7 linked regions of the Oryza sativa Japonica Group genome follow. Each later gene encodes a partner of the first gene's protein in a complex. Links are inferred from orthologs where the notes say so. Each region holds a gene or a part of one and is shown in the gene's direction. Other genes may lie near its edges.

Region 1 (3,201 bases):
TAGCACATATTTGACCATTCGTCTTATTCAAAAACTTTTATGAAATATATAAAACTATATGTATACATATAAGTATATTTAACAATGAATCAAATGGTAGGAAAATAATTAATAATTACTTAAATTTTTTAATAAGATAAATGGTCAAATATATTTAAAAAGTTAACGACGTTAAATACTTAGAAAGGGAGGGAGTATGTTTTTTTTTAAAATTTTAGCTAATAGTTAATTAATCGTATGTAATCCGCCGCTTCATTTTCATTTCCTGAGAAAGATGTTCCCCTGCCGAACTCAGAATTTTTACAAGTAAAATAATACTAAGAAAGAAAGAATTACATGTTCGGGGATGTAGCTCAAATGGTAGAGCGCTCGCTTTGCATGCGAGAGGCACGGGGTTCGATCCCCCGCATCTCCATTTCGTCAATTTTTTTATCCCATTTTTCTCCATTTATCGTTAGCCATTTCATCCCTTCTTTCGACTGAGGTCTGAGGATATAGCTGTTATTTATCCGGCTACGAGCCAATGCACGTAAACAATCTCCATCCATGTCCAAACTGGCAAGAAGCCAAAAACCCAAAACGAAACATGTGGATTAGCCTTTTCGTTGTGGCGTGCAAAAACAATTTACCCGAGGATAGCTTTATTTTTCTAGTTTTATGTGGTATAGGCGTAAGTAACAATCGGTTGGAAGGATAGCTAAAATTTTTCATCTCCATCGTTTCTCTTGGATTGAGATCTTTCGAGTGCAGTCAGAGAAGCACGCTGTTGTGACTTTAGGGTATTCTCAGCCGTCCGATCTATAACGAACGGATGAGATTGATCGCTACAATACTCTAGAGTAACACGCGAGCAGTATCTATGTACAGTATAGTTACTATTTACCACTAATACTATAGTAAATAACTGCAAAATCACTGTTCCACACGGTAGCACAGGATACAATTTACTTTGCTCCTCTCCCTTTAGCACTTAAAATTTAGAGCCGGATCCCATTTTCTTGGCGTGAAGCTATACGTGGGCCCGGGAGATGCCATGCTGGCAGGTGGGCCCCACGCCAGGGCCCCACCTCATCGCCTCCTCACCACGTCTCGCGCCGCAGCGTATGCACACCTCCTCAGCCTCGAGCTCCTTTGGAATGCACCACCACCTCAAAAAATAATAACAAAAACAAAAGCACTCGACTCGACTCGTGCGCCGCCGCGCGCGCGCACGCACGCACACTCCGGCCTCGCTCGCATGGCGGCGTCCACGGCATCCGCCCCGTTCACGCCGCTCCTCCACCGGCGGCGAGCGAGCGTCCACGGCCGGCGCGGGAGCGGGAGGGCGTTCGTCGCCGTCGTCGTCGCGGCGGCGGCGGGGGGCGCGCCGGAGACGGAGCCGTCCCCGGCTACGGCGGCCGGGGCGGCGGCGCAGGGGAAGAAGAAGACGGTGGACACGAGGATACACTGGTCGGACCCGGACGAAGGGTGGGTCGGCGGGAACGCCAAGAAGGACGGCGGCGGCCGGAAGAAGGAGCCGCTCGGTGGGAGGTTCGCCGACCTCATCAACAACCCGTCCGAGTCTCACTACCAGTTGAGTGCTACTGCTGCCTCTCTTGTCCCATTCTTCATTCATAATTGAACAAATTTCAAAATGACTTGAATTTTGGACAAACTTCAACCAAAATTGAATAAGTCTCGAAATTTCCAACCCGTATGAAAAAAAAAATCACCGTCCTAGTCACAATACCAATTGAGTGTTAACTCCAATGCATAGCGAATATTAGTAAATAACTTAATACCAAAATAACTAGAAGGGGACGAGGCTTTGAGCTTGGAGCTAGCCAGAAAACCCATTGATGTTTTTCGGAGATTGTTTGGTTTCGAGACAATTTTTAGGGGATGTGCAGGGACATTTTTTTTTCTCCTAACAAAACCTTGCCAATTTGCCAATTTTTGGTACTACCTATAGAATTTGAACTTACCTGAACAAATTCCAACAAAAAACTTGTACAAAAAAAAAATCAAACCCAGGTTCTTGGGGGTGGAACCGAAGGCGGACATCGAGGAGATAAAGGCGGCGTACCGGCGGCTGTCCAAGGAGTACCACCCGGACACGACGTCGCTGCCGCTGCGGGAGGCGTCGGAGCGGTTCATCCGGCTGCGGGAGGCGTACAACGTGCTGAGCCGGGAGGAGTCGCGGCGGTTCTACGACTGGACGCTGGCGCAGGAGGCCGAGAGCCGGCGCCTCCAGCAGCTGCGGTCCAGGCTCGAGGACCCCTACCAGCAGGACCTCGACAGCTACCAGTCCGTCCCCGACATGGTCGACCGCCTCGGCGGCCGCAACATGGACCTCAGCGACCAGGCCATGACCGCGCTCACCATCGACATCGGCATCATCATCTTCTGCGTCTTCTGCCTCATCTACGCCGTCTTCTTCAAGGAGCAGTACTAGATTATTCATTCATGCCAGGAAGAAGAAATTTTCAGGTACATATACACTCTCAAGATGTTGTTTGCTATACGTACGGGTGTATCATGATGTAATGCGAAATAAGTACTGCACATCCACACCAAGTAACCAAATGTCCCTGTATCCTGTATTTTGTCCACAAAATTGGATTGTTGCAATGTGTAAATAGGCTCTTGAATGAAATTATTGAAAAAGCAAGTATGGACCTAAAATGGGTAAATTGCCAAACAGCACAATTGGCCTTCCCTATTCTAGTCTCAATATCATGTCAAACAAGAAAGAAAGCAAAAAGGTAATCCGCCTCTGTGTGGTTGAAACTCTTGGACGGAATGTGGTAGGTGTCTAATCTTTTACGAACTGTCACACTCGATGATCTTGACAACAGATGAATCGCCGATCTTCTGGAAAATGATCAACCTGTCATAGGGCTTTAGCATACCAACCGAGCGACCATAGTTCTGTGCAAGTTTTATCCCGTACTCTTCCCTGGTGAGCCCACCAGTTTCAGCCTGTTACAGAAAGTGTTCACGCATATGTACATATTAAGAACAAGTTGAAATTTTAAAAATGCCAAATGGTAATTAAGAGGGGATAATGCAGCTATCATTTTTGTAGAACTACAAAGAAAATTTGCATTGTGGGCTACCGCAAGATGCAAGTTTTGGCATTGCAAAAAAGCAGAAAGTGAAGGTGCCTCTAGTATTTAGCAACTTCAACATACCTCCTCAGTACTCGCCATCAAAGGGTAG
Region 2 (3,629 bases), on another chromosome or scaffold:
CGGATGGAATTCTGAGTGTTAATTCTTGTTCTTCCAGCAAACTTGCTGCTCATGAGGCCCAGAAAAAGCTGGAGAAGGAAGAGGAGGATGAGAAGCGTATGCTGCAAAAGTCCAAGGAGTTGGACGCTTTTGATCAGCAGAATCATGGAGCCGTCCCCCAATACCACGATCGCAGCGGCTCTGAAGACAAGAATGGTTTTCATGGAGCAAACAGCGTGAAGGTTACTTCCTTTGAGGAGGAAGCCCTTCGCAACATGAAGGCATTCTGGCTTCCATCAGCTACACCTGAAGCTACTGCCAAAGTAGAAGCTCCCTCCACTGACACAATCTGCCCCGAGGGACAGGAGAAGCTCAAGTTGAAATCGCTCTTCCCTATCTCCTTCACTGAAGAAAACACCGACCAGAAAAACAAGAAGTCGGTGGAGAAGAGCTACATGTGCCCCAGTTGCAAGTCTACCCTAACAAACACCATGTCCCTGGTGACGATCAGCACGTGTGGCCATGTCTTCTGCAAGAAGTGCTCTGACAAGTTCCTTGTAACTGATAAGGTCTGCTTGGTGTGCAACAAACCGTGCAAGGAGAGGAATTTCGTTCCTTTGGAAAAAGGAGGAACTGGATTCGCTGCCCATGATGAGCGTCTAGAGGCGAGAGATTTCAAGCATTTGGGGAGTGGTTCTGGACTGGGTTTAGTGAAACCTGCCCCAAAGAACTACTAGCCTCAAAATATCTTAGCTGCTGTTGTATATTATTTATGTTAACCTGAAAATTTTGTTTCAAGCATCCCCTTTCGCTGTGAACAGTCTGGAGCAAATTCAGTCTTGTTATGCTAGTGGCACTATGGTTGCTAATTGCAGCTTTGCTTATTTGCTATGGCTAAATGCGTTAGTTCGCAGCTGTTGTACTATTTATCTACCAAGTTTGAAGCACAGTCAAAATCATCTTTCTTGTTACATCGAAGCTATCGAATATGTATCGCATGATCTGATGGTAGGATCGTGTGTGTGTGTGTGTACATATATTGTTTTTCAGCCAAAGTCAATGTACAAAAAAAAAGGTAAAAAGAGAATTGGAAAAACATAAAGCTCTCACATATCTCCACCACAATCACAACAGGAACGGATTGGTCCCATTTTGTCAGTCAGTGCTCAGTACGAGACAAGGCCAAAAGTTCTAATGAGGATAATGGAAATGCTGACCTGGCTTCCTTGCCCTCCACTCACACAGACACACAGACTACACTTGAAAAGCGAACGAGCCAGTCCTAGCAGCAAAGGATAACTTGACTGGAGGAAGGCAAGAACACGTATTTTCTTCAGGTTCATAGCTACTCCTGCAGGTGAAATGGCAAGCCTGCAGAATTTGATCTGCTCCGTTTCCAAGCAGGTGTGTGCTTGTGCCCTCTTCTCATCGTTTTCTGAATCTTGTTTATTTCACCACTTTATATCGGTGTTGTTTTCAGTTGGTTGCTCCAAATTGTGCTGTTACCAGCAAGCTGAATGCGTCTCCTCTGTCAGTCGTCAACGCTAGCTCGAGTGAAGCATCCTCGGATGAAAAGAGTAAATTCCTCTCTGTCAGTTCTCTCGATGCATTTTGTTTCTGAAGATTAACATTTTTTTTGGCTGATTATCTCTCCATCTTACAGATGTGACAAGGAGGAGATTAGCTCTGCTTGGTGCTGGAGCATTAGCCACTGGTCTGCTAAAGAGCAGCTCTGCATATGCTGAAGGCATGGCCATCTGAACTGTCGCATGGTTTTATTTCAGTACTAGGTTGTCTGCATGTTACATACAAGTTCCCACTTCTCAAGTAGCCATTAAGCCTTTATGGCACCATGAGATGATACTAACTCGGATTGTTCCTATATTCCAGAAGTGCCAAAGAATTACAAGTCTTATGTGGATTCAAAAGATGGATATTCATACCTGTATCCAGCTGATTGGAGGGTAGGTTGCAATATTTTCGTCTTGAAGAACAGAGATGTCAGTTCCAATGACTGTGTTTTCGGTGGTACATGGTATTGATGTATGCCCTTTGTTTTGATGTGTCACTTCAGGATTTCGACTTCCTGGGGCATGATTCAGCGTTCAAAGATCGTAATGTAGCGCTGCAGTGCGTGCGTGTGGGCTTCATTCCTACTACAAAAACAGATATCCGTGACCTTGGTCCAATGGATGAGGTAGGATTTCATGCGATATCTGATAATATCTTTCTTGGTAATGTAAAGGAATCAGGCAATTTTTTTAGCCTTTTCTTTTGTTATACATCATAGATTTTTTTTATTCTGACAATTTACATACTCCTCTATCAGGCGATCTTCAATTTGGTGAACAATGTTTATGCTGCTCCAAATCAAATACCAACTGTCTATGACATGCAAGAGGTTTGCCATTTATCCATCTCCTTCAATCAATACTATTTAGCCATATGATCTATCTGAGTATACCAAACTGTCGCTGCATTGCTCTTTCGCTGATTAATTTACGTCTGATCTCATTGGAATGGCTATAACAAAGACTGCAACAACTCTGCAAGCAAAATAAGCAACTGAGTTGTTGTGATTCGCAGCGCACCGTGGATGGCAAGAACTACTGGACATTTGAGTACGATCTTGAGGCCCCGGGCTACGGCGTGTCCGCATTTGCGACGGTTGCCATTGGAAACGGTATGATATTGATATGATGCCTCCTCACCACAAGATCGCAGAGATATATATCATCATCATCTATTAAATTGTATATTTCATCATGCATGTATTTTTTTTTCCTCTCATAAGAAGAAGCTGGTTAACCTGATGGCAATGGCAATGGCATGGCAGGTCGGTACTACACACTGATCGTGACGGCGAACGAGCGGCGATGGAGTAGGCTGAGGAACAGGCTCAAAGTCGTCGCCGACTCCTTCAAGCTGTCCGACCTCACCGCGTGATGGGAGGCAGTTCAATTGCAGAAATATCTTTTATTTTATTGCTTCGTAGTCATGTAGATACATACATACATACAGACGCTGATCTACCACTAGAAAAAGTGCTGGATCGAACACCCTGGCTCAGCTTCCAGGAAAAAGGATGCATAATTACCTTATAGACTTCAATTAATTAATTGTGTGTATGCTATTAGAGCTATTTTTCTATTATAGCCATCTAATTATGTTGATTGAATCGGTTCAACCATCAGTTGCAACTTGCAAGCGACGAGTAGCCATCAGTTAAAAAGGCAGACCATTAGGCCATAGTCTCCGGAGCCAAGGACTTAACAGATCAACAGCGTTTCTATACAGACGTGTGCACGATCAAACCAATACATTACAGAGGCGAAAGGAATCAAGTACACAGGCCTCAGAAAGAATGTTTGCAACTCATATATTACAACAATTACAATGCCCTCCAAACTTGCTAACTATTTCCAGAATAAGTTCCCCTCCAAACCCGCTAACTATTTCCAGAATAAGTTCCTAGAGTTTCAACAAAGCTAGTCATCTGAATCTTCAGACTAAAATTTTGTTGTCAAGACCAGGTCACCATTCCGCTCATTCAGAGCAGCGCCAGCGACACCTAACATTTTTCCTCCGACAAAACGGTAAGCCACAGAACCATGACCCCTGGCTGAACAGAGCGAAAAGGAACTTGATCA
Region 3 (3,484 bases), on another chromosome or scaffold:
AAATATTGAACGTACGATTGGTAGGCTCCGATATTTGAAAAAATATTGAACGTACGATTTGTAGCGTCCGATTTAAAAATATTTCAACATAATTAAGTATTTGTGCAAAAATATTTTATTTTTCATATGATTTTTTTTATGTTTCACTCATTGGTATTTAACGTTTTGTGTAGTGGTTGTGATTGTTTCAGTTAGTAAATTGTTGTATTTCTCTAAATTTGAAACAATTCACGAGGTGAGTTGTAATATTTGTGTACATGTGATGAAACAGTTTTCTATCAATGGTGAGACAAGTTATTTTTTGAGACACATGTATATTTTTATCAAAATATAACCATGTGAGATCTTGTTATAAAGATTTAATGATGATGAATCTAATGGTATCATTGAAATTTAGATCAGAATATATAATTTTGGAGAAAAAAATATTTAAAATTTGAGGAAAAAATTAGGCACATGTAATAATAGAAGGGAGAGGGAGGGAGCGTATGCAAGCAGCAGCGCAAGCAACACATACAGGGGAGGCAAGCAACGTGGCACGTGAACAATGCAGCATGGGCGGCCTACATGCATGCGTATGCGCGCGGCAGTGCGGGGGTGAGCGTTGACCAGCAAGTGAAACATTATGTTATATATGGTGAAACAAAAAAAATCAACAACCGAAACATTTAAGTATTTTATGAAACATGGTGAAAATACACGTTGAAACATGTCGCTGGCACATATGAAACAACAAGTATTAACGAATTGAAACATATATTTTTCTTTTATCAAAATAAAATCATGTGATATTTTATTGTAAAGATTTAATTAGAACAAATATAATGGTGTGATCGGATCATAAATTGGATAAGTAATTTAAGAGAAAAATTATTTTGAAGCTTGCTAAAATACATACATGTGTGCATGGATGAGGTGGAGAGAGAGGAGAGAGAGTAGTAGCAGTTAGTTTCATGAATTTTGTGAAACACACCGATGACACATATTGAAACATATCACTATCACGTACGAAACATTTTGTTTTAACGTTTTGAAATACATGTTTTTCTTTTGACATAATATAATCATGTGATATCTCATTGTAAAGATTTAATTGCAACGAATAGAACGGTGTGATCGGATCGTAAATTGGATAAGTAATTTAGGATAAAAAATATCTAAAGAGAGGAGAAAAGAATGAAAAGAAGCAGTTAGACACATACGTTACAGTGACAGGGTTCGTTCTCACATGCCTGCATGGGCGTCCGATTTTTGGTGAGATGCCGGACGCCAAGCCGTAGCGCCCTCCAAGAAATGGCGGACGGATGCACGTAACGGGCCACGAGCCCACGGGTCAACCTAATCCCATCCGGCCCAAACATGACCTTGACCGGGCAAGGCCTAGCAACGCTCAAGCCCGCTTCAACCAAGCCCAAAATTCTTGTGCTTTTCGTCTGCCCAAGATCAGACAATGGTTGGCCACCCAAAAGTCTGACCTTATCCACTAAAATTTTCCATACAGATTACAGGTTACAGGTTTCACCCCTGAGCCAAACGTGAGCCCGCTACACTGACAACAACAAGCTCATCGCCAACCCGCTACTGAAGCAGCAGCCTACCAGCAATGGCGTTGCCGCTGCTCAAGTCGTCCCCCCACTTCTCTGCTCTTCACTCCGCGAACAGAGCCCAGCTCCATGGCCGCTGCCGTGCAACGGTACCGCACCGTCCATTCTCCCCTTCGCGTTCATGCAAAAACTGCTTTCCTGAATTCCTTGCGAATTTCACCTACTTGTTCAAATGTTGTTGTTAAATTTGCAGCTCGGTGGATTCCATGACCCGAGGTCCAACTCCAGCCGTTGCAAGGTGAAAGGTCCCAGTGCATTTTAATTTTTTCACCGAGAAAGAAGAAATCCGTGGTGATTGGTGAGGCAAAGTAATGCGGTCTTAGCGTTTGCAGAAATCGGCCGGGAGGGGTTCAGTGAAGGCGAACGCGTCCCCGTTGGACGTGGTGACGCTGATGGTGACGATGGTGGAGCACGTCGACCTGCAGAGGGACTACGTCGTGCACAAGTCGATCTGGCATCTCAGCGACGCCGCCCTCAAGAGCGTCTGTGAGTCGTCGTCGTCGTTTCACCTTTCCTGCAGTTTGTTGTTACGTCTGAAACTGAAACTTTTCACAAAAAAATTTCTCTGTCTGTCTCGTAGATACCTTCTACGCCTTCTTCACAGTCTGGGGCATCTGCTTCTTTGCGTCCATGAAGGCAAGCACGCAGAACATATGCCACTACAACTTGGAACGAAATTACATCTTCGATATGTGTTACTGACACGGTCTTGTGTGAATTTACAGGATCCTTTCTACGACAGTGAGGCGTACAGGGGACAAGGGGGTGACGGCACCGTGCACTGGTACTATGACCGGGTATGTCTTTCATTACGGCTTTTTTTTTTTCCTTTATCACGAAGAAAGAACATTCAGACAATTAGACAAACTCTAGTTGTGCGAAGCTACTAAGATAACCAGTCATTTTGCTGATCGATCTCCACTCTCCCATGGTTGATTCTGCAGCAAGAGGACCTGGAGGCGTCTGCAAGAGAGGAGCTCCTGAGGGAGGAGCTACTCGAGGAGATCGAGCAGAGGGTCGGAGGGCTCAGAGAACTCGAGGAAGCAGCCAAGGAGGAGCAGCTTACAAACTGATGGATGAATGAGAGATTGCGCATGGATGGATGACTGCATGATCATGGCGCGATGCGGCTGCATTCTGTAATACCGTACAGAGCGGCTGTGTAATAGCAAGATACACAGTTGCCTGATAGCGCCTGTAAATGTTGGCATCAGACTCAAAAGGAAAGCAAATAGGTGCTCCGTCTGCATGAATGCATTATATTGCATTTGTAGTGTAGGCTAAAAGAAGGAATGTACTACTCCATGTTAATCAAAGAACCTGTACCGTTCACCATGGTGGATATTGCTTCCAAAATATATAAATTGTGTAAATCGACTGATATAGACCTACACCATGGTGGATATACGTGCCCTGTGGAGACGGAAGTTTTGTCAGATCGCAACCAAATTGTGGCGATCCAATATGCTTTCGTTCTGTCGGCTCTCACGGTGTCGGGCCAACTTTATTTGGGTCCAGTACAGAATGGTAGCGATTATGGGCTACCTTTACCGGGCCGCTCGGTGATGGACTGGCCCAAAAAACTCCGTTAGTTCGGCCTGCTTGCGCTGGTGGTCGCGCGCTGGGAATTGGACGCCATCGTCGGCCACGGCCATTCGATCGAGGAAGAAGAACCGCTGATCATACTTGAGCTGCTCCACTACAGGCCGCGAACCAGCAGCAATCAGTCTGCACTCAACGTACAGTACAGACCACACTACCACAGTAGGTAGCACATGTATATACTACTTGTATAGGGTGCAGAACTTCGTAGTATTCCGTCGATCAGCTCATCAGTCATCAGAGACTAACAATAGTTATTTCGACACAGGTCTCTCGAC
Region 4 (4,296 bases), on another chromosome or scaffold:
CGATTGATGTGTGTGTATGTGACTATCAATCATGTCATGTCATGTAGGAGTAGTATATATGCACAATAGTAGCGTGATAATTTGTGTTATCAACAAGTGAGTCAGCTTGACATTATTACACAGAGAAAGGGAAACATGGGCTCGCGGCTATCTATCAAGTCTAGCTAACAGTAGGAATTCCCGTTGTTTTTGACCTATGCGAATTAATCAATAAGGAAAGGCGGATAGAGCAATAATAGGTTAACAAAGTGAAGAGAGGGAGAGAGAGATGTGGATCTAAATCTGGGGGAAGAGGGAGATGAGATGGGGAGGGGACTGACGCGGAACCCTGGTTGTAGAGGTTGAGGGTGACGGCGAGGCGCTCCACGCCTGGACCCGGGCGGGACAGCGCAACCTTCTTCTGTGCTACCACGAACGGCGCATCCTGCCCGGCGGCGGCGGCGAAGGGCACGAGGAGGAGGAGGAGGAGGAAGAGGAGAGATCGCCACTGCTGCGCCATCACCGCTCACGGAGATTGCTTTGCTTCTTCCACCTCACCTCGACCGAGGCTATTGTTACATTACATGTGTGTTCAAGCCCATCCCATCTATTACATGGGCCCCCGTGAATACTATGCCCATCAGCCCATTTTACTACCTCCTGCCTCCTATGCGGCCCCCTCCCCTCTCTACCAAAAAAAAAATAATACCACCTCCTATTCTTATTTTTTAGCATTGTCCATATTTATATATGTGTTAATAGATCTAGACATATATGAATGTGAAGTCTTATAACCTAAAACTCAAGAAAAATATTTACTCAGGTCCTAGTTTTAAAAAATACTCAAAATACATATAAGGTTAACAATTAATTTATTCATCTAAGGGTTTAAAAATATGAATTGTTTATGTAGCTTACTTACCCAACATGAAAGTTTATATATAAATTTCAAGTTTTCACTTTTTTAAAAAAAATATTTTTGAGTTTTTTATGAGAGAGAAATTACTTACGCAAAAGATAATTTACATTAGAAATGAGGTATGTTCTCGAAAAAAGTTACATTAAAAACAGCAAAAAAAAAATTCTTGCAGTATATAATGGATAAATAATTTTTTTTAAAAAAATATAAAAATGTAAAATCTTAAAACTAGTGCATAAACTAGCATTTTTTTTCTTCTGAAACTTATGGTAGGATAAATCAAATATTAACCTTATATGGTGTATTTTAGGTATTTTTGAAAATAGTATAGTCCGATGGTATATTGTATAATAATTGATAACTTACCGATATATTATAGAAAGAGACACTGTAAATAAATAAATTTTAAATAGTTGGATTGGGACAAATAGAGTTGATTTAACAGATGCTTTTGGTCCCAAAAATAAAATATAGTACTTCCCCCAATGAAGAAGGTGTGTGTGATTATTGTATTTCCTGTGCACACATATGCAAAAATGCCATCCATTCATCCCAGTGCAATGCCCTATCTACCTATCCAATCCCAATCCACCTGAGCGAGAGAGAGAGAAAGGGTCTCCTCCTCAACATCAACAATGGCGGTCGCAACCTCCTTCGCCACACTCGTAAGCTCACTCATCCATGGCCTCTGCTCTCCTCTTCTTCCCCACCGAGCTCTCAATCTTATTATCGTCGCTCTTTCTTCTCTTGTGTTTGCACTGCAGGCCATCGCGCGGCCGGCGGCGGAGCGGGCCCTCCTCGCCTCCAAAACCCCCTCGCCGCTCCTCTCCATCCGCACCGGCACCGGCACCGCACGCCTCCCCTCATCGGCCGTCTTTGGAGGTTTCACTCCTGCGCTTTCCGCTGCTCACAGCCGCGCGCGCTTCGTCTCCTCCGCCACCGCTGACCCCAAGGTACTGTGTCCCCGGATCTTCTTCTTTTATCTGCCCTACATATATCTTTCTATTGCCGCACCGCATCCATTCTTGTAATCCTGTCTAGTAGTATATCAGTCAAATTTACTACTCCACCTTACTGGACTATTATTATGCAATCAGCCTCCGCAATACCGGCCCCTGTTTGTTGCCTCTTTGGAGGAAGAGATATTGGGTTAGCACAGATGACCTCGACCTTCCAACACCATTAAATTAAAACTAATACTAGTAATGCCTTTGTATGTCAAATTTTGTTATCAGATTTTTAAATCACCAGGTGAAATTTATGCTACCAAAATTGCAGTTTCAGGCTTATCATCACCAATGCTTTATTATGTATTCACCTGCTCTGATTAATAATTTTAGTTGCCTCGACCATAGGGTTCTGCTACTTACAGGTCTTACCTTGTATGTGCACCGAATGTAAACACGTTATTCATCATCAGTGACTGCCTGCAACATTGTGAGGAAACACGTGTGCCCTTCTGTACTACTGAAAGCTGGGTTTTCCTTTCCCATGTGCACTATGCGCTTTCATGTTTTCCTCCACTAGATGTTAACTTACGATATACTACCTCCTTCCTTTAATATATGACGTTGGTTAGTTCAATTAACATCATACATAAAAGAACAGCGCAAGTATCGATTATTCTTACCCTATGTGGGAGAACTGGATACCACGCTTCAAATTTATTCTTTCAGTTTTGCTAAACTTCTCCCATACATTGCAGGAAGTGGACCTCCAGTCCAAAATCACAAACAAGGTGTACTTTGACATAAGCATCGGAAACCCTGTTGGGAAGAACGTTGGGAGGGTCGTTATTGGCCTATACGGGGATGATGTTCCCCAGACCGCAGAGAACTTCCGTGCTCTTTGCACTGGTACAAAGGGCTTCTTGCTTTTCTTCTCTTCTGTCATCTACTACTTTACAGGATTACCCAGATTTGGTGCATGATACACATACCATTGCCCTTTTCCTTTTCAGGAGAAAAAGGGTTTGGTTACAAGGGGTCCAGTTTCCACCGTGTCATTAAGGACTTCATGATTCAGGGAGGAGACTTTGACAAGGGCAACGTATGTCTTCATTATTTACTTTCTTTATAATCTACTCCTATGTTGCACTTGTTCCTCTGTTTCATCTGACAAACTCTATTGGAAAAAGTCACATAGTGTAACATTACTCACAACACTGAATGAGCTCATGTGTTTGTTTCTATCTATCACCATTGAGCCAACTATTTCTCCAAAAAAAAAAAAGTTTGATTTGTTTTATCAATGTTAGCGCTTTATGCTGTTTTGGATAGAAAGCTGACCTATATATGTGTTTTGGATCATTATACAACTTTGTGTTATGCACTTCAGTGCTTGCCCTATGGTGTTTTAGATCATTATACTGCTTTGCATCATGTACATTATGAGTATGAATTGGTAGTTTGTGATCAGCATAATGTGTATGCAGTGATTATTGACTTCATGGCTAGATTACAAGGAGATTAGCACCAAATCCTTTTTCTTTAAATTGATGGCCTAAATTAAATCATGCAGCTGCCTGGTTTCATGAATTATGAATTTTTGACCTAGCCTACATCAAATCATTCAGCTTTCAACTTCTGCATGTGGATAAAGTAGGTTTCAAAAAATGAATATTTCAGGGTACTGGAGGGAAAAGCATATATGGCCGGACCTTCAAAGACGAGAACTTCAAATGTACGTCTGACAAATGACCTAATCTGATCGTTCTTTCTGCTTCTTATCTTGTGGTTGTGCTGATTATATGTCTTGTAATGTTTGTAGTGGTTCATACTGGACCTGGAGTGGTCAGCATGGCCAATGCTGGGCCAAACACCAATGGCAGCCAGTTCTTCATCTGCACTGTCAAGGTAACACTGTACTGATATGTTCACTGTGTACTAGTGTCGAAACTCACTCAAAATTACATTGCGCTGACTGCTACCTGCGAATGCAGACACCTTGGTTGGATGGGAGGCACGTCGTGTTTGGGCAGGTTATTGAAGGCATGGACATCGTTAAGATGATCGAATCGCAGGAGACTGACAGAGGGGACCGCCCGAAGAAGAAGGTGGTCATCAGTGAGTGTGGGGAGCTTCCAGTGGTCTAATAGGTGCCAGAGGGCTAATCTTCTTCCCCCGGAGACTTTGCTGTTTTTGGTTTCATAGTAAGCTGTGAACTTATCGCATGTTCTCCGCGCAGTCAGAGATCATGCTGAGTTGAGGCCAAGATTTCTAAGTTGAGAAGAATCCTCTATTGTTCGGCTGGAATAAAACGTTCTTACCTGTCGAGGGTCAGGAAATAATGTTGTGGTTCATGAAAGATCAAATGTCTGTCTTTTCGTGCATACGCAGACTAAAGTTACTCCTTTCCCAATACCTTTTGTTGCTGCATACTCTCTCTGTCCTAAAAAA
Region 5 (2,972 bases), on another chromosome or scaffold:
CAGCCTTAGTAGTACCTTTCACTGTAAGAGCAAGTATAATAAAAGGCCGTTAGAAGGTTGAATGCTAACGTGGATGAGAGAGGAGAGAGAGAGGGAAAGCGAGTGGTATGCTTAAAACTAGCTTAGGCATAGGAACCAAGAAAATATGTGAGAGAAACATGGGAACCATATAGTTTATAGTTAAGAGCTAACTACTACATGAGTTGGCTGAGAGGTAGACTGTGAAGATCTTATACCACATTTGACGTGATTTGGGCTCGTCGTCTACTCCCTCCGTCCCAAAATAACTCAATATAGGATAGGATGTTACATATTCTAAGACAACGAATCTAGATTGAGTTATTTTGTGATTCTCTCCATCCCAAAGAAACCAACCTAAGAGGGGATTTGACCCCTCCCAGTACAACGAATCTGGACACTACATCTCCTCTTAGGTTGGGTTTTTTTTTACGGAGGAAGTATTTCTTACGGATAGTAACTTTAGGGGCCTATTTATGAAAAAAAATAAAAAGGGGCTTAAATGTAAAATTTTCAGTCGAAAAACACGAGGTCCTCATCCGAAATTCCTAATTGGCGACTGGTCGCGTGCCCCCTCACCCCGCGCGGATGGACGCGTGGCGCGCGTAGGAGGGGGAGGGGGCGCGGCGGCCGCGCACAGTGGGAGGCCCGCGTTCTTTTTTTTTCGCCGGTTTTTATGGTTGTTTTCTTCGGTTCTTTGTTTTTTTAAAAAAAAAACATCACATATATAAAGTTTGTATATACAGTATACAAAGTTTATATACATACGTATATAAAGTTTATATATATGCGTATAGTGTATATATAAAATTTATATACGTGATGGTTTTCCTCTATTTTTTTTTATTTTTTAAAATGAACATATATAAAGTTTGTATATATATCATAAACTTTGTTATACGTTATATATAAACTTTTGTATATGCGTATATATTTACATATAAAATATATTTTTTAAATAGTACTAGTAGTATATAATAACAGTAGTAGTGGTGTAGTGGTCCTAGTTACCAGTACTAGTAGTACTAGTACTAGTTCTAGTTAGCTGTGTTTATTCTAGAGTAAAGTTTAGATTTTGGTTGAAATTGAAGATGATGTGACTGAAAAGTTATGTGTGTATGATAGATTGATGTGATAGAAAAGGACTGAAGTTTAGATCCAAACTTTGGATCTAAACACAGCCTTAGTAGTAGTAGTTAGTAGTACTCCAGTTACTACTACTTCCTCCGTTTTACAATGTAAGTCATTCTAGTATTTTTCATATTCATATTGATGTTAACGTGTAATAAATGCTAGAATAATTTATATTATGAAACGGAGGGAGTAGTAGTTTAAAGTAGTACAGTGGTAGTAGTACTAGTAGTACTTTAAGTATATACTGTACTCCGTATAGCAGTACCAGTCGCCCATTAGCCACCCCCGGTCCTCATCCACCTAGGCTTTAAAGGCTTCGTCACTTCCACACATCCTCTGCTCCGCTCTGCTCCACCAATGGCGCCCACCACCCCCGCCTCCTTCCTCCGCCCGCCGCCGCTGCCCCACCACCACCACCCCCGCATCGTCCGCCTGCCCCCTCCCTCGGCGACCTTCCGCGTCGCTGACCTCCTCGGCGGCCGGGGTCTCTGCAACGGCGAGGTCGGCATCCGCAAGGAGCTCGCCTCCGACTCCCCCGCCGCGCCGCCATCCACCACCACTTCTTCCGACGAGCCCGCGGAGTCGCCACCGCCGCCGCCGGCTGCGTCCGGGGTGGACCCGGACGCGTTCGACAAGGAGATGATGGGCCTCACCGGCGGATTCCCCGGCGGCGAGGTCGGCCTCAAGGACTTCGTCGCCAAGAACCCGCCTCCCCCCAAGCCGGCGCACAGGAAAGGTCTCGCCGCCGCCGCCACGGTGGAGCGGCCGAGGGCGCCGGAGCTGCCGCTGTTCCTCCCCGGGATGGTGGTGCTCGTCAAGAACCCCAACAACGCCTACCACATGTACTGCGGCATCGTGCAGCGCGTCACCGACGGCAAGGTCGGGGTGCTGTTCGAGGGGGGGATCTGGGACAGGCTCATCACCTTCGATCTCGACGAGCTCGAGGGGAGGGAGAAGGGCCCGCCCATGGTGAACCCTAAGTCCGTGCTGCTCGAGTCCCTCGCCGCGGAGATGGAGGACGATGTGGCCAAGGAGGAGGAGGGAGAGGAGGCCAAGAAGAAGAAGGAGGAGGAAGGCACCGCCGCCGCGGCTTGACCACCATTGCTGCTTCTGCTTCTTCTTGTATGTATACAGCTATCTATATTTTCTTAGATGATGGAAGTGAAAGGGGTATATATATATATATTATCTATTCGATGAGTAATTTCGAAGTGAGTAAATGTGTTGTTGTTAATTGCTATATGTACAGTTGGAATCTTAGTGTGAATTGGCACTATGAAACAAACGATTCGGAGATAAAAGTTTAGCTTCTTTGTTGAATTGCTATATGTTTGATCAATTTGATCACGTTTGGTCCGGATTGCTAGTGAAATGCCTACAAGGGCACCAGTTGCCATAGTTCATTATGTTGGTAGGATTAATTTTTTTTTTTACAAACTTGAATTATCATCTCTTGCTTCTTGAAGCGAAGAGGCTATGACAGTCAGGTAACCAGGCTTTCATGATTGTAAATTGTACAGAGTATGAATGTTCAAGTGTTCGTTATTCCTGACATGACTTCAAAATCCCGCAGTATTTCGCACAGCAACTATCTATGCATTGTAGTTTACGTTTGCCTGATAGCTGGTTTCCCATGATTTTTGTTTATTTGAAAGAGTATATGAAAAGATAGGGCCTTTACTTCTATATAACCTGCCTTACTCAGGAATAAGTGTAGCAGCAGATTTAAAAGGATGGTAAAGGAAGACAGTGAAGTAACAATAATGATATAGTGTTTTGCAAACAGAGTACAATTTGTATTGATTACCACCATCTATATC
Region 6 (3,322 bases), on another chromosome or scaffold:
CAGCGAGAGGCACGCGATGAACTTGTCCTTGAACTGCATATCCGCCTGTGGCCACCAACCAAATCAAAACAACGCGTACAAAACCACAGCAGCAGCGTACACAGACGGAATGAATCAAAACCACCGATCCCCAATTCCACCCCCCTCCGCTTCGCAGCCGCAAGCACACACACCCAACCCGGCCCCGTACCTTCACTATCCGGATGCGCGCGATGCCGGCGAACTCGTCGACGGCGATGGCCCTCCCCGTCCCCGACTCGGAGGCGTGGGCGTCGCCACCGGGACGCCCCGCGCGGTCGCGGTGGCGCAGGCGGAGGCGGCGGCGGAACCGCTCGAAGCGAGACGGCAGCGGCGAGGGCGGCGACTCGCCGTCGCCGCCGCCGCCGCCGCATGCATTGTGGCGCGAGGGCGAATGGCCCATCTGTCAGTGAGATGGAGTAGTTGGACTCGACGGCAACGCGCAGGCGCAGCGAGAGACTTGAAAGGCGATGACCTTTTAAACGCGAGGCAGAGTAGGAGGAAGGGTCATCGGGTGGTCCCCACATGTCATACAGATAATAATTAATGGCAGTTTCCACATGGCAGTTGTTATACATCTGGGAAAGGCAAAAGGCCGTACCCAAGCAGGAGTCGCCTGGGTGTTCGTTAGACTGACATGTGGGGCCAGGATATGCTCGGATCATTCACTACCTGGACATGCGGAAGAAGATTCATGATTTTTTTTTGCTTTTTTCCAGCGCAACCGTCGCAAGACAAAATAATGGTACGCGTGGGGCCGGTTTGATCGAATATTTTCGAAGGGTTGCTATGTTTTGCTAAAGTAGAGGTCAAATGGGATGGATCATGGATGGATGGGGACGTTGAAAACGCGGTGGATTCATTTGAGGAGGAAGGATCCTTGGCATCGGTCAATTGTGCATGTTACGACAAGTGCCACAAACCAGCAGAAGCAAAGGTAGAAGATGACCATTGCAAAAAAAAAAAAAAAGGGGGGGGGGGTGTCCTCCTAAGCTTAAGCTAGGCTTTGCATTGCTCTCAACGCTTTTCTCCCTTCCACTTGCCGCTGTTGTTTACTCTTTCCAAGCTAAATAGCGACATAAAACTAAAGCGGAATTCCTCATTTGCTCGCTCATTCGCTGAGGTCGAGCATACAACAATCTAAGACGGTGTCATGATCCATGACCTTGACTCCTCCAATTCTCCTTTATTTTTTCTGTCTATCTCTCTCTCTCTTTTCTTTTGCTAATTCATTCATATAATATAATCATCATATATGGGCCTTACCCAAATGAGGTGAGCTGGGCCTGAAGCTTTGTGACAGTTGGCCCAAAACTGAGAGCGCTAGCTCAGGCCCAGTGGTCACCTTATCTGCCGCGTGCAATTCATGTGGCACATATTTACGTGCACTTCGTCACTTTGCTTTTTGCCATTGCCATTGCCAAAGCTAAGCTTCTCGCCATGGAAGCTCTCCTCTCCTCGCCGCGCGCTCTCTTCTCCGTCACGCCAACCGCGTGCTGGCCGGCGTCAGCCAGGAGGAGGAGACGTGTTGCTTCTCCTGTCAAGGCGGCCGCCGCCGCCGCCGAGCCGGCCGGGGAGGAGAAAAAGCCCGCCACCGGCGGCGCCGCGGCGGCGGCGGGAGACGGCCAGGCGGCTGCGCCGGCGCCGAAGAAGATCCTCAAGAAGAAACCTGTCTACTCGAGTAATGAATACGCTTTGCAACTTTGCATTTCAGCTCTGAGTTCTGAACAAGCATCAAAGCCATTTAGCTTCTTGTTTGTTTTTTTGTTTATACTTGATTAACCAATCCATTTATTTTCATCCAATTGATTTGGTTGATGATGCGCCACAGTGAAGAAGGGCCAGATTGTGCGCGTCGACAAGGAGAAGTACTTGAACAGCATCAACGTAAGCACACTGATCGATGCTACTGCATAGATGCTTCATTCATTTCTACTCTTTGTGCTGTAATTTCAGTCTATGATTTCCTCCCCTGCACATGATTTTTTTTAAAAATTTGTTTCATTGATTCAGTATCTGTCAGTTGGACACCCGCCTTTCTTCAAGGGGCTAGACTACATATACGAGGACCGTGGCGAGGTAATTATTTAGCCCATCTTACTGAACCTGAAGTTAATTTCAGCTAATTAAACCTAGCAGTAAGAACATCTTCGTTCTAGCTACGGTCATAATCTTGTTCGTCATTACCGTGCAGGTTTTGGACATCAGAATCTTTGAAACAGGGGAGTATGCCCTGGTGAGTCACCTGCCACTTCATTTCTTCTGTATATTTTGTAGATTTGGACTTCTGAATCTCATTCATATGTTTGGACAGATCGCTTGGGTTGGAATCCCAACTCCACCGGCATGGCTGCCAACTTACATGCTCATCAAGGTAATTACAGTATCTCTAAGTCCATCACACATGCAGCATTGCCAAAATGCAGAATGTACCATCATTTGACCACTTAATCTTAACACTATTTTTACAGTCGGATAAACTCGACTACGAGAGAATATGATATGCACAGGATCGAAGGTTGCGTTCAAGCTAGCTCAGCAATCGGGTGGGAGATCGGTCCTTGGCCTGCCAGACTAGCGTTTTTTCAGTTGTTTTCTTCCCTGCATTGCAGATTCTTCCCCTATTTCGGTTCTTCCGACGATTAATCTGCAGATGTTTTCAGTCGGTTCGTGATATATGACAATGTGTTGTATATAGATGTCAATATGAGGCGATTTGCTGTTGCCTGTTGCTCCGCATCTAAATTAATTATACTGAACTGAAAAATTTAACAAAAGTTAAGTGATGATATTCAGAGCTATTCAGATTCATTTTTTGAGATGGCTAATTATCGTGCCATCTGATCGTATTCTGTAAGCTTCAAAAAAAAAATGTTAGAGATATACTGATATAGAATAGGCTAACGGATGCACATACCCATGAGAACGTCTCTTTTAAACACGTTCGTAATGCATGAAATAACTAAAAGTTCTACTGAAAGAATACTCATTGTACGTGTAACTGCGGATATCAGAATTTAAACTCTAATGAACATACTTCTTCTGTACGCACAAATCCATCACTAGGCCCCGTTTGAATCCTCTAGGAAGAGAGGATATTTTTTTTTTGATATTCGTGGCACGCTTTTCAAACTGTTAAACGGTGTGTTTCGTGCGAAAACTTTCTATACGAAAGTTGTTCTAAAATATTAGATTAATCTAGTTTTTAAATTTGTAATAATTAAAACTTAATTAATCACATGTTATTACCACCTTGTTTTGTTATGAAGCTCTTTTGGAACGCATGTTATTTTTACGAGTTAAT
Region 7 (3,873 bases), on another chromosome or scaffold:
AAAAGGGGAAAAGGAGGGGGAGAAAGGGGCTTGCCCCTTTGCCGATTCGGGAAAAAGGGGAAGGGGAGCGGGAGCGTCGCGGCAGAGGGAGGAGGGGCGCGGCTCCGTCCCTTGGCGGCTTGCGCGCGGAGTGGCGGGGGCCGGGCGATGACGACGACGATGACGGGGGGACGGCTTGGAGCGGAGCGGCGACATTGGCGACAGGCGCGTGCAGAGGCTGACGGCGGCGGCGACCGGGCGGTCGACCACTCGGCACGCGCGCGCGGCTTGCAACGGGCGGCGTCCGCGCGGGCGCGCGCACGCGAACACAGCGCGCGGGAAGCGGCAGCGAGGGAGCGGTGAGGGAGGACTTGGCTCGGCGCGGGCGGCTTACGCGTGCTGGCTCGCGGGGCCGAGCGGAGGGGCGCAGGGCGCGGCTCTCGCGCTCGCGCGTGGCGCGCGAGGGAGGGGCGCTCGGCGCGGCGACGCGCGCTCGCGCGCGCGGCGCGGGGCGGAGCGGAGGGAGAGAGGGAGAGAGCGGGGGCGCGCCGGGGAAAGCGAGAGAGAGAGCCGGGAGAGAGAGGGGAAGATGGGCCGAGGGAAAATCGGCCCATCGACCCTGGGGGAGGCAAAATGGACTTTTGCGGAGGAATTTGATTTGGAGGGATTGGATTCGGAATTGAACTCGACGATAGATCGGGGATTGAGATCTTGAGATGGCACGGATACTAGACAACAAGCAAAGAAACAAATTTCGCAATTAGGGTTTTTAAGAGATAATTTCCCCGCTAGGCGCCACGACGGAACGGGCGCTACAGCAGGTCTGGCGAGGGGGGCGGGGAGGCCGGCGAGCTCGCCCTCATCCCACCTCCAACCCCTCCCCGCCTCCTCCCTCTTCGTATGCACTCGCTGCCGGCCTCCCCGCCTCCTCCCTCTTAGCATACGCTCGCTGCGGGAGCTGTGGGGGATGGCGGCGTTCTGGCTGCAGGCCAACCCCATCCTCGTCGGTGCCGCACCAAGTTGCCACATCGCCACCCGTCGCCAGCTGCCCTACCAGCCTCCTCCGCAATCCGCACCCGCTGGCCGCCCTGAGAAGAGAGAGAGGGAGGGAGAGGAGGGGAAAATGGGAAATAAGAGAGAGGTGATGATATGGCATCTTACATGTGGGACCCACGCGCTGACTCAGCCGTCACGTCAAATAAAACCGGGGTCAAAACCACCGAAGGATCTAAAGTGAACGGTTTTGTTAGTTGAGGAACGCCTGATATCTGGTTTTGCGGTTGGGAAACGATTTTGTAACTCGATGACAAGTTGAGGGACCTTCGGTGTACTTTTTCCTGGAATCATCTGTCGTTCCACGGGCCACGGCCGCCGTTTGGCGACGAGACACGCGGCTTGGCCCGCAAAAAAAACGAGGATTCCTTCCTCGGTCCTCGGGTGTTGAGTTGGGAAAGCCCATGGCCCGTGACGACGTACGCGGGCGTTTATAACGACGCGACAGAGAGGTGCCCGCGTTGCAGCAGCCACAGTTTGGGGATAATCCGATTCTCTACTCCCCAAGTGACTCACTCACCGATGGCGCCTCCTCCTATCTCCTCCTCCCTCTCGCTCATGGCCTCCAACCCAATCCCGTCGCCTCCGGTCGCCAAACCGGGCAGGCCGCTCACCGTCGCGGCGTGCAGCAACAGCAGCAGCAGCTCCTCCTCCTCCTCCCCGTCGTCGACCTCGTGCTCGGCTGCCTGGAGTCTCCCGGTGGCGACGTCGGCCGGCAGGAGGGGGCTGCTCGCGCTGGGCGCGGGGTTCCTGGCTTCCCCTGGGCTTCTGTGCCCCGCCGGCGACGCCGGAGCGACGCGCATCGAGTACTACGCGACGGTGGGGGACAAGCTGTGCGACATGAACGTCGTCAAGTCGGGGCTCGGCTACTGCGACGTCGAAGTCGGCACCGGCGCCCAGCCCCCGCGCGGCCAGCTCATAAATGTCAGTTCCGACAGAAGAGTTTCTCGCACTTTCTCTAGAAGAACCTGTGTTTTCTGAATATGATTAACTCCTGTATGGAGTAATTAAGCATTGGCAGATCATAAATTTGCCCAATTTGCATCAGTACCGATCCTTTAGTTAGTTCGACAACGAATAAACCTGCCATTTTTTTCTCGCCATGACACTGATAGGAGTTTCAAGTGTGTTAATTGGAGTTGTGTTCATGGTTGTAAGGTACACTACACTGCAAGATTTACTGACGGGATAGTGTTCGACAGCACCTACAAGCGAGGACGGCCACTGACAATGCGCCTTGGCGCAGGCAAGGTGCGCAGCTTTTGTTCATTGCACGTACATCTTCGATCGTAGCAAGCATCTTATGTAGTTATGCAAGGAATCTTATTGTTTGGTTCGTTCGCATTTTCATTCTCAGATCCTCCGAGGGCTTGAACAGGGAATCAGTGGTGGCGGTGGTGTGCCACCCATGCTCGTTGGTACTGTCAGAAATCCAGAAATAATAAGCATATGCATCTCTTTGTGTGTCAAATGCTAAAAATATAGTACTGCTTTTATTTTTCTTAATCACATCGTGTCTCTGTTGAAAATCGCAATAACATTACAGGTGGAAAGCGCAAGCTTATGATACCTGCAACTTTGGCATACGGACCTGAACCAGCAGGTTGCTTCTCAGGTAATAACGAAAGAAAAAAAAAAGTAATCAAACAAGTAATCTTAATTTAATTCTAGAAATTTGAGACCAGATTAAGTTTCATGTATTTAACGATGTTTCAGTGCTATCTGTCTGGCTCCCTTATTAGCATTCGCTAGAAAAAATATACAAATTTACAGAAGATTTACTTATTTAACAGGAGACTGTAATATTCCCGGCAACACCACACTCCTATACGACATCTTCCTGGTTGGATTTTACAAGTGAGCATATGATGAAAAGGAATATGCATGACTTGAACAGACTAGGTGCAAACAAGGTATGGTGGTGGTATTCTGAACCTGTCTGATTTTTTTTTCATCTGAAAACAGTATCCCTTGCCTAAAGGGGTTGTTGTTTGTTACATAAGCATGTTACATTCTCTGGCAGATTTTCGAGTAAATTTTGGCGTTTCATACAAGAGGCGGGACTACGGACAGATGAAGAGAAAGGGTGCGACATGCCTAAGCCCAGACGCCGAAAGCAAATGCGTCACCGGAGCTCCTTGGGTCTCCAATACGCAGAGTACTACATTTGCAATCTGTACCAAGAAGTGAAAGGATATATAACAAACCGGTCCTCTGATATACTATCAAATTGGTCTTATGTTTTCTAGAGAAGAAAAGTCTTGTGTTTGTGTAAGTATAACGTTGTAAAGACATGTCTCATTATTCATACTGTCATTGGTACAGCCAAACACAACAAAAATTCCCATCCTTTGTGGCAAGTCCTAACTAAATGAAGTTGAACTCTGACTGAATATCGATTGACTGGTGACTTCCAAACCTTCAACAGTTCAAGCAAGCTAATCGACTGTATCAATACTAATGTACTCAAAAAAATGTCGAAAGTTCGTGTCAAAGCACATGTGCAGTAGTAGCTTTGAGCCTTTGACTGCTGTCTGCACTGCAGTATTGCCACAAGATAATTTAATCATAGGTTTGTTAACCATCAAATCGAAACATGCATTGTTCAGACTTCAGAGAATATCCTAAAATCCTTTTATGAAACCAAAGAACACCCAAATCGTGAGAGTTGAACTATCGATTGACCGGTTCAGAGCCAGAACTGGTAGGTGAATGAGGGAAGAAAAGGAGAGCTGCCATTTCCGTGGCAGGAAGACTCAAGAATTCCAAAAGCTTCTTGTCGGTTTAAAACGAAAACCTTTTTCGTCAGATGCTCTGAATGCTGCTCGGTGTCATGAAATT

Evidence for each region.
Region 2: NAD(P)H-quinone oxidoreductase subunit T, chloroplastic (region 1) and photosynthetic NDH subunit of lumenal location 1, chloroplastic share a complex: the UniProt entries of both Arabidopsis thaliana proteins name them as parts of the chloroplast NDH complex. The link is inferred for Oryza sativa Japonica Group from reciprocal best matches to the Arabidopsis thaliana genes NdhT and PnsL1.
Region 3: NAD(P)H-quinone oxidoreductase subunit T, chloroplastic (region 1) and photosynthetic NDH subunit of subcomplex B 4, chloroplastic share a complex: the UniProt entries of both Arabidopsis thaliana proteins name them as parts of the chloroplast NDH complex. The link is inferred for Oryza sativa Japonica Group from reciprocal best matches to the Arabidopsis thaliana genes NdhT and PnsB4.
Region 4: NAD(P)H-quinone oxidoreductase subunit T, chloroplastic (region 1) and photosynthetic NDH subunit of lumenal location 5, chloroplastic share a complex: the UniProt entries of both Arabidopsis thaliana proteins name them as parts of the chloroplast NDH complex. The link is inferred for Oryza sativa Japonica Group from reciprocal best matches to the Arabidopsis thaliana genes NdhT and Pnsl5.
Region 5: NAD(P)H-quinone oxidoreductase subunit T, chloroplastic (region 1) and NAD(P)H-quinone oxidoreductase subunit S, chloroplastic share a complex: the UniProt entries of both Arabidopsis thaliana proteins name them as parts of the chloroplast NDH complex. The link is inferred for Oryza sativa Japonica Group from reciprocal best matches to the Arabidopsis thaliana genes NdhT and NdhS.
Region 6: NAD(P)H-quinone oxidoreductase subunit T, chloroplastic (region 1) and NAD(P)H-quinone oxidoreductase subunit O, chloroplastic share a complex: the UniProt entries of both Arabidopsis thaliana proteins name them as parts of the chloroplast NDH complex. The link is inferred for Oryza sativa Japonica Group from reciprocal best matches to the Arabidopsis thaliana genes NdhT and NdhO.
Region 7: NAD(P)H-quinone oxidoreductase subunit T, chloroplastic (region 1) and photosynthetic NDH subunit of lumenal location 4, chloroplastic share a complex: the UniProt entries of both Arabidopsis thaliana proteins name them as parts of the chloroplast NDH complex. The link is inferred for Oryza sativa Japonica Group from reciprocal best matches to the Arabidopsis thaliana genes NdhT and PnsL4.

The regions. Positions count from the first base shown.
Region 1 is NC_089045.1:6,122,221-6,125,421, reverse strand, and holds NAD(P)H-quinone oxidoreductase subunit T, chloroplastic, read left to right. Parts: upstream 1-1,180; 5' UTR 1,181-1,237; coding exon 1,238-1,572; intron 1,573-2,013; coding exon 2,014-2,434; 3' UTR 2,435-2,701; downstream 2,702-3,201. Other genes in the region: pyruvate kinase 1, cytosolic, read right to left, coding at 2,803-2,961, 3,174-3,201. UniProt on the Arabidopsis thaliana protein: NDH shuttles electrons from NAD(P)H:plastoquinone, via FMN and iron-sulfur (Fe-S) centers, to quinones in the photosynthetic chain and possibly in a chloroplast respiratory chain.
Region 2 is NC_089037.1:9,604,744-9,608,372, forward strand, and holds photosynthetic NDH subunit of lumenal location 1, chloroplastic, read left to right. Parts: upstream 1-1,221; 5' UTR 1,222-1,341; coding exon 1,342-1,383; intron 1,384-1,459; coding exon 1,460-1,556; intron 1,557-1,642; coding exon 1,643-1,726; intron 1,727-1,869; coding exon 1,870-1,943; intron 1,944-2,053; coding exon 2,054-2,176; intron 2,177-2,308; coding exon 2,309-2,380; intron 2,381-2,565; coding exon 2,566-2,662; intron 2,663-2,815; coding exon 2,816-2,925; 3' UTR 2,926-3,129; downstream 3,130-3,629. Other genes in the region: E3 ubiquitin-protein ligase CSU1, read left to right, coding at 38-716. UniProt on the Arabidopsis thaliana protein: NDH shuttles electrons from NAD(P)H:plastoquinone, via FMN and iron-sulfur (Fe-S) centers, to quinones in the photosynthetic chain and possibly in a chloroplast respiratory chain.
Region 3 is NC_089036.1:31,695,870-31,699,353, forward strand, and holds photosynthetic NDH subunit of subcomplex B 4, chloroplastic, read left to right. Parts: upstream 1-1,497; 5' UTR 1,498-1,603; coding exon 1,604-1,693; intron 1,694-1,797; coding exon 1,798-1,842; intron 1,843-1,936; coding exon 1,937-2,090; intron 2,091-2,184; coding exon 2,185-2,240; intron 2,241-2,329; coding exon 2,330-2,401; intron 2,402-2,548; coding exon 2,549-2,677; 3' UTR 2,678-2,984; downstream 2,985-3,484. UniProt on the Arabidopsis thaliana protein: NDH shuttles electrons from NAD(P)H:plastoquinone, via FMN and iron-sulfur (Fe-S) centers, to quinones in the photosynthetic chain and possibly in a chloroplast respiratory chain.
Region 4 is NC_089039.1:192,030-196,325, forward strand, and holds photosynthetic NDH subunit of lumenal location 5, chloroplastic, read left to right. Parts: upstream 1-1,496; 5' UTR 1,497-1,533; coding exon 1,534-1,563; intron 1,564-1,662; coding exon 1,663-1,851; intron 1,852-2,603; coding exon 2,604-2,754; intron 2,755-2,858; coding exon 2,859-2,947; intron 2,948-3,525; coding exon 3,526-3,580; intron 3,581-3,667; coding exon 3,668-3,753; intron 3,754-3,839; coding exon 3,840-3,992; 3' UTR 3,993-4,229; downstream 4,230-4,296. Other genes in the region: uncharacterized protein, read right to left, coding at 321-499. UniProt on the Arabidopsis thaliana protein: NDH shuttles electrons from NAD(P)H:plastoquinone, via FMN and iron-sulfur (Fe-S) centers, to quinones in the photosynthetic chain and possibly in a chloroplast respiratory chain.
Region 5 is NC_089041.1:5,276,820-5,279,791, reverse strand, and holds NAD(P)H-quinone oxidoreductase subunit S, chloroplastic, read left to right. Parts: upstream 1-1,418; 5' UTR 1,419-1,509; coding exon 1,510-2,247; 3' UTR 2,248-2,472; downstream 2,473-2,972. UniProt on the Arabidopsis thaliana protein: NDH shuttles electrons from NAD(P)H:plastoquinone, via FMN and iron-sulfur (Fe-S) centers, to quinones in the photosynthetic chain and possibly in a chloroplast respiratory chain.
Region 6 is NC_089035.1:42,962,927-42,966,248, forward strand, and holds NAD(P)H-quinone oxidoreductase subunit O, chloroplastic, read left to right. Parts: upstream 1-1,393; 5' UTR 1,394-1,458; coding exon 1,459-1,699; intron 1,700-1,849; coding exon 1,850-1,905; intron 1,906-2,031; coding exon 2,032-2,097; intron 2,098-2,212; coding exon 2,213-2,254; intron 2,255-2,332; coding exon 2,333-2,392; intron 2,393-2,489; coding exon 2,490-2,519; 3' UTR 2,520-2,822; downstream 2,823-3,322. Other genes in the region: phosphatidylserine decarboxylase proenzyme 2, read right to left, coding at 1-45, 191-421. UniProt on the Arabidopsis thaliana protein: NDH shuttles electrons from NAD(P)H:plastoquinone, via FMN and iron-sulfur (Fe-S) centers, to quinones in the photosynthetic chain and possibly in a chloroplast respiratory chain.
Region 7 is NC_089036.1:32,085,055-32,088,927, forward strand, and holds photosynthetic NDH subunit of lumenal location 4, chloroplastic, read left to right. Parts: upstream 1-1,479; 5' UTR 1,480-1,554; coding exon 1,555-1,956; intron 1,957-2,190; coding exon 2,191-2,283; intron 2,284-2,389; coding exon 2,390-2,450; intron 2,451-2,578; coding exon 2,579-2,647; intron 2,648-2,825; coding exon 2,826-2,893; 3' UTR 2,894-2,945; intron 2,946-3,055; 3' UTR 3,056-3,373; downstream 3,374-3,873. UniProt on the Arabidopsis thaliana protein: NDH shuttles electrons from NAD(P)H:plastoquinone, via FMN and iron-sulfur (Fe-S) centers, to quinones in the photosynthetic chain and possibly in a chloroplast respiratory chain.